Linked DNA regions of Oreochromis niloticus. The protein of the gene in region 1 purifies or fractionates together with the protein of each later gene. This does not show direct contact. Links are inferred from orthologs where the notes say so. Each region holds a gene or a part of one and is shown in the gene's direction. Other genes may lie near its edges.

Region 1 (3,755 bases):
CACATCTCTGTGGAGGAATTTCTTTATAATGTTGCCTCAGTTTATTGCAAGCACTCTTTTATGCACAGCTCACTTATGATCCTGCAACAGCACTTGAGGCAGGTTGAGGTGTGTACTTGTGGTGCCATTGTGGCACCTCGAATCTTTTCATTTTCAGCCATTCTGTTGTAGATTTGCTGCTGTGATTGGGATCACTGTTTTCCTGCATGACTCAATTTTGTTCAAGGTTTAGCTGTCACATAGATGGCCTCACATTTGACTGTGGTACACGGAGGAGCTCATGGTCTGCTTCGTCCCCGCAGTGATAAGGTGGCCAGATCATCAATCTTCCATCACCGTGCTTGGCAGTTAGTGTAAGATGTATGTGCTGATATGCTGGCTTTGGTTTTGTTTGGAAATGCCCCTATACGTCTTCTCAGATTGATGGACAGCAACAGATGCTCCTCTAAGATCATTGCTAAGATCATTTCCACAAAGTGCCAAAATTTCTGCTTTTGTAGCTGTGCTCACACTTGCTGATGATCAGTTAATCAATTTGATTTGATTATGATTATTTACTCTCTTAACTCCTATGGCAGTAGTAAACATATACTCAGGTTTTCACACACTGGTTCAATATTAATGAGGCTGTTATGTTGTGTTGTTTATATGAGTTTGTGATTAAGAAAGTTCAAGACCTACTGAGGACCAATTTTTGATATGCACTGACACGAAAAACCTTAGAATTAACAAAGGATGTCCTTTGTTTTACCATTACTCTAGGTGTCAACAACAGCAACAAGAAACTGCATAAAACGTTCAGCTCCACCTACACCACATCTATAACGAAGGGCTACACCATCACCAGTTTATTACACAATTAGTAGGCTATTGACTGGTAGTACTCACAAGGATACATATGACATTTTCTAAGTACTGGGAACTTTGTCAGATCTACTCTTGAACCAGTTAATATTTCTCATTTATCTGTGTATTTCATATATTTAATTACTTTTATAACGTGGTTGTAGAGATTTTTTTCCCATCTGTCTGATAAGCCAATATCTTAGCAGTGACCAATCAAAATGTGCCATTTTTAATTTTATTTGATTCTGATTGGTTGATGTAGCATACACCCGCCTATTAGTTATGCAGTATACGTAATCGCTTGTCAAAAGCAAGACCACGCGTTCATAGGCTGGGTGTCGTGTCTCAAACTTCTGCAAAGATGGTGCTGAAAGCGGTTTGCGTTTTGAAGGGAACTGGCGACACTAGTGGGACAGTTTATTTTGAACAGGAGGTAAGACGGGCTATTCTTCGTTCACGTTGAGAAAAAAAACCCCGTCCCACAAACTACGCATTTAGCCGTTTTAAAGCGAAACGTTAGAAGGGTTAATGCACATCCTGCTCTTACAGTTATCGCCGACGGCTAAGCTAGCCAAGTTCTGCTCTCTTTAGCTTGTCTTAATGGTTAGCTTGCTGTTGGCTTGCTAGCTAGGTACGCGTTAGCTTGTGAATAACAAGTCGTGCAAATTTGCGTGGGTTTTCTAACAGTCTGGTCTCATATTCAACGCCGCCCCGTTGCTAATTAACCTCAGTTTACTCTGCACAGTATAGTCAGTGGATGTTGCTTTTCACTTCAAAGTAGGTTGCTTGTGTCAACCACGCATTTAACAGGCTATATGAAATCACTGGCTTGTCACTATAGCAGTAACCTTTGGCCACTAAAGCCTGTGCAGTGTTAATGGTTAAAGGTGTGTTTTTTAAGGCCCGCCCAGGCTGTTTGTATAAGAAAGACGCTTGTTGCATAAGTTCAACGTTTGCAGAGACAGTCTAAAACAGACCGTCAGATGTGGTTTCATCTACCAGGCAAGCACTTCTGTATGTAACGCTTTTGCTGTAACTCCGAAACAGCCGGCAAAATGCTTCGATATTATTGTGATCCATCAAAACAAGAGCAAACGCGAATTTGCTCATTATTTTTTTGCCGAGTCATTGCCTGTCCTTGTTTTCGTTGCCTTTCGTTTATTTGGCCTTCTTGATAAGGGTAAAGTGCACTGTGCAACCGTCAAAGACACATGGTCCACTATCAAAGAGACGGACTCATTCACATCAAATCAAACTTTGTGTGTAAATTACAGTGTATAAGTAATATTTGTAACCAATCATTTGAATTCAGTTCAGTGCATTTTAAATTTATAGAGCACCAAATCACAACAGTTGCCTTAAGGTGCTTGGAGGTTTAAACGTAGTTTTCTTGAAGACTTCCTGCTGTGCAGACGTAATGAATGATTACCTGTCCCTTTCCATAGAAAATGCATTGCATCCTCCAGTAATAACTTTCAGAAGGCATGATTGTGCAGTTTAAGCTAACTGTACCATGCATTAAAACAAACTTATTGAACATTACTGCTGTTGTAGTTCAACTTAATAGGATTTTTTTAAGTTTATATTTGAGAGTATGTCTTTTGTAGTAGATCTGAAATGTCTGTTATTTTTTTGGCACCAAATCCCACAGCCCAGCTTTGTTTTTCCTCCTTACGTTATTATAAGGAATGTCTGTCTGGGGTGGGGCATGCTATTGAATGGAAGTAATCTTCATTCAATATTCCCGTCCTTCTAGCCACCTGGCTTTGAGAGCTTCTTTTGTATTTGTGTTTTTGATCTGCTAGAATGAGTCAGCCCCTGTGAAGCTGACAGGAGAAATCAAAGGCCTTACCCCTGGTGAGCATGGTTTCCATGTCCATGCTTTTGGAGACAACACAAACGGTAAGTTTCTCTGTGTGTGTGAAAGAGATCCAAATCCAAAGAGACTTGGATTTCTTAATTTTCAGAATTTGATAATGTTACTGCATCACCTAGGTAATCTAGACTAAATTTGCAATAGTTCAATATGTTTCATATATATTTTCTTACCCAGGGTGCATTAGTGCAGGCCCACACTTCAATCCCTACAACAAGAATCATGGTGGGCCTAAAGATGCAGAAAGGTGAGTCCAGTCTGAAGGAAGAGTATCAGTATAAAAAGTAATTATATTGCTCATTAGTAGTAATGTTATGTCTGACACTGAAGCCCCAAGGCCTGTTAAGCAAAGTGGGTGTGTCCAAATGAAACCTTTGTTTAGGCCTGTATTCTTTAGAATATCACGTGGCAACTTGCCTGACTGCCTTGTTATGTGATTCGAGCTGTTGAAAAGATGTGGGAGTTAGATTTTTTTGCATGAATTGGATGTGAGGTCATTCTGAGGATCATCACGAAGTTGCAAGGAAATTTTATGCACATTATGGATCAACAAAAAGGGCAAAAAATATCAGCAGTTAGGGAGGATTTTGACATGATACCTCCCAGTAATAACACGTCTTTTCAAATCAATCTCTGAGGTACATATCTACTGGTATGTAGCACACATGTATTATCACAGCAGAGCTGCTGTAATTTGAATGACCAGTAAATGTCAGTAATTTCAAATGAGCTTCGTGTGATTTGCCTTCTGGTGAAACAATTCGCCAGAAAGATTCAACAATTTCACAGGAGTTCATGCACCATCACTACTCATCAGCAATGGCTACAATAAAAGTTAATGTAAATGGTTACAAAGGACTGAAATATTTAGTAGGGTGCTTTGAAATAAGCTTCAGATCATGTCAAGAGGTTGACATTTGAGCAATATTTACCCCCCAAAAAAAAGAAAAAAAAGGTGGGGTCCTTGTTGTGATATGGCTGTGCCATTCTAAGGGACACCAAAAATACCCTTGGATTACTTGTCATTTAGTTC
Region 2 (3,755 bases), on another chromosome or scaffold:
CGAGTGACCACAGCGCTTCCTCACAATCCTTCACTGAACCATTTAATGTTCACTGGCAAACTTAAGCTGGGCCTGTACACCTGTCTTCGTGTACAGGGACAATATGAGCACTGCAGGATTTCAATCCATTACATCCATTCAGTCCTTACTGAGTTACCAATGGTGTTCTCTGTGATTGTGGTACCAAATGAATTCAGATCATTAATAAACTCCTCCCTTGTAATTTTGGGCTGATCCCCCACCTTTCTCATGATGATCTTCACCCCATGAAGCAAGATCTTGCATGCAGCTCCACGTCAAAGGTGATTCATGGTCATTTTGTATGTCTTCAATCTCTGAATAATCACACAAACAGCTATCATTTTCTCACAAAGCTTCATGCTGATTGTTTTGTAGCCCATTCCAGCCTTGTGGTGGTCTACAGTCTTGTCCCTGACAGATGTTTGGGCTTGCCCATAGTGGTGGAGAGGTTGGAATGGCGTGCTTTATACACACATGAGTATCTATAACTGATTGATTGGTTGATTGATTGTAATATGTGTTACACATGGGCAGACAGCCAGTTTGTGGGGTATTAAATTGTTATTTCACTCAATGAAATACAAATCAATGTATAACTTTTATGTGATGTGTGGGTTATTTCTGGATTTTTGGTCGATATTCTGCCTGTCGCCAATAAAATGAAACTGCAATTACAATTAGCGTTGTTCATTTCCTTACAAGTGAGCAAAGTATAAATTCAGAAGGGGATCAGATAGTTACCCCACGGTGGATTGTCTTGATCTGTGCCAAATGTTGACTGTTTTAAGGTCAACAAGGTCATTAAATTTGAATAGACGGTCGATTGAAGTATGAATCCAAGAGTTTTAATAATTTCATCATATACTATATCATCATTTTTGTCACGCGTTTTCTTACTTTGCACTGAGTACTTTGACACGTAATAGTTTAGCATTAGTAAATCAGCTTACTTCAATAACATTTCATTCATACTGGATCTGACTCGATGATTTGGCTGAGTAAATATACGATACATTGTACTTTTCAAGAGAGCCGGTGTTACGGCAGGTTTGTGGTTTCTCTTTAAATTTCTGTTAAATTTGACTTCCGCATGGAAGTCCCGCCCCCTCTCGCAAAATAAAAGTGCTACTGTCGCAAGGTCTTGTGACTTGACTGTAATTTGTCAACAACACGATAATGCTGAAGTTTGTGTCGCTGTTGCTGGCTCTTAGCTGCTGCCAGGGGCTGCACCACAACAACATCGACGACTATGTTGAGGCCGAGCCCGTTTTCCAGGCGTCAAAGTACGGCTCCCTGTGGCCTCTGCCGCAGAAAGTGCAGATTTCAGAGGTTTCATTCAAGTTAAGCAGTGCCAGCTTCAGGATTGTTGATGCCAAAGCGTCGTCCGCTGGACCGAGCTGCAGTCTCCTACAGAGCGCATACAGGAGGTGAGCAGCTGTGTCTATGAGCTGTTTTTATATTTATTTATTTGCATCGCTGCACATGATTTATATATGTGGCGAAATCTCAACACCGCAGCCCGTGTTGCGTTCAGGGGCCAGTTTCCACCCTCATGCTGTCTCTCTCTGCAGGTATTATGAGTACATGTTCGGCAGCGCTAAAAAGCAGTGGGGAAGCAAAAACAACAGGCGATCAGATCCCTCTGATCTGACCGAGCTGCAAGTGTGGATCACATCACCTGACTCTGAATGTGACGGTTACCCCAGTGTGACTTCTGACGAGTCATGTGAGTACCTTCTCTTCCTCGTTCATGTCATGTTTTACCGCAGTATCCAATCAGGCGCCTCTTCCTCAGCTATTCCATGTAACTAGGTGTAACTACTGTTACTAAACTGCCTTGCGTCGCAGAGGGGAAATTCTGTAATTTTTACTCTATTACATGTATGTTCAAGCTTTTCGGGGTACTTCCCACTGTATGAATTTACAAAGCAAACCAAAAGAAAAAGATATGCAATGAAAGTGAAAACGAATGAATGAAAATATGGACCAAAAAAACTGTATGACACTCATTTTATAATTGGTACAGCTGTTTTATATTGATTATGTATAGTGTTGCTAACTTTATTGTAATTATTGCCACCTGAAAACAAATTTTCATACTATGCAACCATGTGGAAAAACTAAGTACACCCTTACAACTCCCATAGGAATTAAAAGGTTAAGTGGCAGCCAGGTCCTGAGCTTGATTAATTGATCATTGGCCACTGTGGGCACCTATCTAAAGGCACAGGTTTGGGCATTTAACATCCCAGGAAATTCACCCCAAGGTCAGAGCAAAAGCATCTCAGACACTACAGGCCTCAGTTAGCATGTTAAATGTTAAAATTCATGACAGTACAATTACAAACAACCTCTCCAAATGGGTTGTTTGGAGAGGTTTTTAAATGTGCATAAGAATGAATCACAACACCTCTGGAACAATGCCCAAAGGGTGATGTTTGGTCATAATTTACAACTCCAAATTTCAAACGCAGTTCATCAGCACAAATACCTCATACCAACTGTCAGCTACGGCTTTTGGGCCAAAATGCCTCTACACCAACAATAGACTGATCCAGTCATACAGAGAACACTACAACAGTACAATACGACAATAAGCAAACAATAGTTCAAGGTGTTCAGCGTCGTTTTCAACAGGACTGCGTAGTCCTGTAGACATGTTCGTTTTCACAACTGTATTTAAATGTCCATCTGTGGTTATGCAGAAATGAATATTGCAAACGGTTATCTGCCTCTGCATGATGAGCATGATATTCATCTGCTCTTGCTTGTGGTTTCTCTCCTGTTTTTAAGACTTTAACACTTGACTTAGAAGTACATTTAGAAATCAGACTGAAATGAAGAAGAAAAACAGGTTTATATTGCGACGTTTTAAAGAGATTAAAATTTCATTAAATTACAGAGTTTAATTACATTTTTGACATGTGAATTCTTACAAAACATCAGTATTAACTTTAGTACCACCAACTTGCATTTTATTTGATTTACAAACTAAATAAATTGAAATTTGTTTTTTATGAACTCATAATAGTTAAAGCCTTAAAAACATACTACACTGTACTTTTTATCATCTCACAGCCCTTTCACTTTATGTTTTGAACCACTGTACCAAACCTTGTCTAAAGCAATAATAACCAGCTGTGACAATTAAACGCTTTTTATTGTCGCAGTAGATTATTATTGCTTAATTGTTTTCATTCAAGGAATGTTATAACATTCATTTTTCTGTGAATACTCTGACTAATATTTCACTGATGATACATTTATTTAAATTGGAAATGCAGGCTAATTTCAGTGCACTAGAGCATTTTTGACTGGTTTCAGTGGTCAAACTGAAGACTTTCCAGTGGAATTAGTGATCACCTGGAGAGCAAATACTAGGATTAACCCAGTTAATCTACACTAAATGTTCAAATCCTTCCTTAAGGCCATTACTTCACCATTTCCTTACCCTGACCTGAACACCTCTACAACAATCGGCCAAGTTTTGAAAATGAATATGCAGTAAACAGGTGGTGGTTTCTTACAGATGAACTGACAGTGAATCAGCCAGTTGCTGTCCTGAAGGCACCTACGGTCTGGGGAGCTCTGCATGGTAGGATTTACAGCATTTATTTTCATTGTCAAATTATTTCTTATTTCCCATTTTCTGTTTAGTAGTAAGAAAACAAGAAATTCTATCAAGATTTCTTTGTCTTTTTAAAAAAAAAAAAAAGCTCATATGAATAGTTTTT
Region 3 (3,755 bases), on another chromosome or scaffold:
TACTTTAGTTAATTGACCTGTTGAGCTGCTCATTTTAATCTGCAATGAGCCTGACATTAACTGAACTAATGAGACATTTTCTTTAAAAAAAATATATGTTTAGTGTTGCATTGATTCTTTCTCATGCGTTCTTCTAAATCCTTCTTGAATCTTTGGTTAATGCCTCCACCTACTGGAAGAAAGAGTGCATTGCCTGTTATTAAACACCATTAGATACAGCTGCAGTAGAAGACAATGCTGTTTTTGTTAAACAGCCTTGAGATATAAATACTTGTGTTTCAAATCTGGCTTAAATCAGCGTAGTAGAGACCATCAGACCCTGCCAGGGCATAGAAATAGTATAACAAGCAGCTGGAATGATGATTTGTTGGATAAGCTGTGTGATCTTGGCTTACTGTGATCGGATGTTATGAGCCACCGGAAGACATGCTGTAAGCACTGTGAAAGGAAGCATTACTGCACTAAGATAGTAGGGGCAAAGAACAAACACTCGCCAGTGATCTGTTCTCCTGGTCATCATGCTTTCCAAGAGCTCCATCCATCATTGATTTTCAGGTTTCACTGACTTGCCCTGCAAAAGGATGCAACAATAAATAGGGATGAGAAGTGAGATCTATCTTGCTACGGCTACATCTATCACTACAGATGTCTCCCCTCTGCTTGTCCACCACGACTATGTCCGATTGGTTAGCCATCACCAGTTTGTCCATCTGTATCTAGAATTCCCACAGGATCTTAACTTGCTCATTCTCAACCACTCGAGGGGGCGTACACCATTTCGACCTCAGGACTTGCAAGCCATACTGAGCACAGATGTTCCTGTACACTATGCCAGCCACTCTGTTATGTATGCCCTGTCTGTTAGCGTCTTGCACCCTGATGTTATGTGCTGGAGTGGTACAGTGACATGCTTTGCAGGTCCTGTCCTTCCTGTTCTTGCGCACAATATATTTGTTTGCAAAATCCTACTAACTATAAACAATAAAAGAATCTAACTACTTTACTTTTTTAATTCACATACTTGCAGGTGCGAGTAGAATAGGCACGGACCGCAGTCTAGAAAGGGGGATAGTGTCGCGCAGTCTGGCAACCCTCCTGTCAAACTCGCAGCGCGTGCAGGTTGCTTCTAGAAGTTGGAAACAGAAGTTAGCGTCTTTGCACCTAGCAGTACAGAGCTGCAAGCTAACATGGCAGGGAAGAGGGCGTTAGTAATCCTGTCTAAAGGCGCAGAGGAGATGGAAACTGTTATTCCCGTGGACATTATGCGCAGAGCTGGGGTTTGTAACATGCTATATGTTAGCATTTAGCAAATTAGCCTGTTAGCGTCTATAAAAATTAGACCCCGCTTCAGTCGACTCACATCAGTATTGGTGGCAGCATTGTTAAGATATCAGCCTGTCAAGACTGTTATAACAGCCTGATATCTTGATAAGTGTAACATACGCACTTACCTTGTGCTAATGTTAACGCTTGCTAACACTGTCGATCTAACTTAGCAATTTTCCCCTTTGCATATTTTAGGTTATTTTAGCGCATAAGCTAAGTTTTCAGTCAGCTATTTTGGGGTTGTGTCTGCTAATGGTTGACGGACTCATAACCTTACTAGTGAGTGCAGACAGAGGTCAAGTTAAATGTCAAAGTCCGTCGTCGTTGAACATCTCCGCCATTTGATATCTTTCAAAATAAAAGTCTACGTCAGCCATACAGAGTGCAGACAAAATGCCACTTTGAACCATCAGGATAATGATGCACTGTTGTTGTTTTTTTCTTTTACTGCCCAAACATGTAGATAGCAGTGACGGTAGCTGGTCTTACCGGCAAAGAGCCAGTCCAGTGTAGCAGAAACGTTGTAATTTGTCCTGATGCCAGTCTGGAGGAGGCGAGCAAACAGGTGAGGCTCAGCAACTACCTGCTAACATTACATGCAAGAAGAAAAAAAAGCGTTATTTACAATGCTTATATTATATGCTTGTATATTTTTGTTATTGGAAAAATGTTAATGTTGATGGTCCCCTCCCCCCCCCTCTCTAGGGCCCTTATGATGTGGTCCTTCTGCCAGGAGGAATGCCAGGAGCCCAGAATCTAGCAGAGGTGAGATGGGGAGGGGGCCAGTTTTTACAGTAACATTTTTTTTGGAAATGGCTTAAAAAGAAAAACAAGTTAAAATGCTTGAATTTGCCTAAACATTAGGACTAAATAACTGACAGTGAAACCAAAGTGTGAAAAAATTTCTAAAGTTTCTCAAGGTTCATCAGTCTTATGTTTGATTAATATGTCTGAACTGAATCTTCTGTATAGTCTATGGTGTAACCTACACAAATGAGTCTGCTTGTGTGTGGTGCATCATGTGTTTTATTATCTCGTGATTGTGTCCTGGTGTTTTATATGTGGTGCCAGTGACAAAAGAAACAAGTAAAATCTTGTTTTGTTTTGTTGTTGTTATTGTTTTTTTCATAGTCAAACATATTTTCCCATCGGGTTTTTCGAGTTCTTTGTACATTCTTTCAGGTCACTGCGTACTTATGGGATAGATTTAATGCAGAAGTATAAATCCACTGTTAAACGCATACACCCTTTCCGTCACACACTTGGGTCCTCAGTTAATACCACCTTGTCAGATTCAGTTTCAGATTGATATCACCACCTTCGGGGATTTAAGTTCTCTGCTGCTGTGCCAAAATTCCAGTATTGGGACCATTCTCAATTTGTAAATTGATAATTATATCCAAAGAAATGCAGTTGCTTCTTTTTAGCTATATGCGTGTGCAAGTAATGTTATCTTGTTTGCATAGTATCACAATAACATTTTTTACTAAAATTGCAAATATTTGGCAGCGGTAGGACGATTATTTCTGCTGGTTAAATGCCAATTGGGGAACAGGGGAACTAACACACACTGTGTTTAGAATGAGCATACAGCAACCCTAGTACTGACTCACAGTTTGAAGGATATTTAGGATATTATTTAAAAGGTCTACCTGATGTTCACAAGAGGTGGTAACAAAGATGTGTGCAAACAAAACAAGGAAGTGACTCACATGTAGAAAAGTGGCCAGGAATTGTCCTGCCAACTTCTTCTCTCATTCAACACAGAGTAGTGTTCTGTTATACTGCAAATTTTGGTATTGATCTGATACCAAGTAAATGCAGGGCCCGCCACTGCACCACAGTAAATGCAGTGCATCATGTTGTCAGCTTTACTGTATCTTAGCCAGGGAAACTGGTCAAGCTATTCTCTTCGAAATGTATACACTTTCCCCCTTTGACTTTCAGTGGGCTCTGGCTTAGAGTCGCTCATATGTGGCTCATTATCTGATGCCGTCTCCGGACCAGTGTTAGACACAACCTGGGAGGTTGATGGCTCTGTGTCAGAGCACTGGCTATAAATTTTGGACGGATCAGGCCTTAACGAAAAAGTAATCAATCATTCTTTTCATCTTTTCCCATTACTCACAGCTACATCTATTACTTCTGTCAGACCTAGGCTACTCACCTCTCTCTATACGCCTGCACTTTCAAACGTACGCAGGTAGGCCTACAGGAATATCTTTACCATGGCCAATCAGAGAGGTCCCGCCCTTGACTATCTCTGATTGGTTTAGACCACCATATGGGCATGATGTGTATCTGTTGTTGACCACATAGAGACTTTCAGAGTTGCAGAGACGTTTCTTTTTTACTTGAATGGCTGGTTGCACTATTGCGACCTAGGATTTTTTTAGTCGCAGCATTGAGAAATTGGTCGCACTCTAGAG

Evidence for each region.
Region 2: the proteins of sod1 (region 1) and hexb purify together in Homo sapiens (affinity purification with mass spectrometry; 3 studies listed by BioGRID and IntAct, with this or other methods). This does not show direct contact. The link is inferred for Oreochromis niloticus from reciprocal best matches to the Homo sapiens genes SOD1 and HEXB.
Region 3: the proteins of sod1 (region 1) and park7 purify together in Homo sapiens (affinity purification with mass spectrometry; 4 studies listed by BioGRID and IntAct, with this or other methods). This does not show direct contact. The link is inferred for Oreochromis niloticus from reciprocal best matches to the Homo sapiens genes SOD1 and PARK7.

The regions. Positions count from the first base shown.
Region 1 is NC_031975.2:15,129,471-15,133,225, reverse strand, and holds the start of sod1 (superoxide dismutase [Cu-Zn]), read left to right. Parts: upstream 1-1,120; 5' UTR 1,121-1,207; coding exon 1,208-1,279; intron 1,280-2,651; coding exon 2,652-2,748; intron 2,749-2,899; coding exon 2,900-2,969; intron 2,970-3,755. UniProt on the Homo sapiens protein: Destroys radicals which are normally produced within the cells and which are toxic to biological systems.
Region 2 is NC_031972.2:14,375,384-14,379,138, forward strand, and holds the start of hexb (beta-hexosaminidase subunit beta), read left to right. Parts: upstream 1-1,116; 5' UTR 1,117-1,197; coding exon 1,198-1,448; intron 1,449-1,592; coding exon 1,593-1,747; intron 1,748-3,550; coding exon 3,551-3,616; intron 3,617-3,755. UniProt on the Homo sapiens protein: Hydrolyzes the non-reducing end N-acetyl-D-hexosamine and/or sulfated N-acetyl-D-hexosamine of glycoconjugates, such as the oligosaccharide moieties from proteins and neutral glycolipids, or from certain mucopolysaccharides.
Region 3 is NC_031970.2:18,651,107-18,654,861, forward strand, and holds the start of park7 (Parkinson disease protein 7 homolog), read left to right. Parts: upstream 1-1,080; 5' UTR 1,081-1,187; coding exon 1,188-1,277; intron 1,278-1,789; coding exon 1,790-1,891; intron 1,892-2,031; coding exon 2,032-2,091; intron 2,092-3,755. UniProt on the Homo sapiens protein: Multifunctional protein with controversial molecular function which plays an important role in cell protection against oxidative stress and cell death acting as oxidative stress sensor and redox-sensitive chaperone and protease.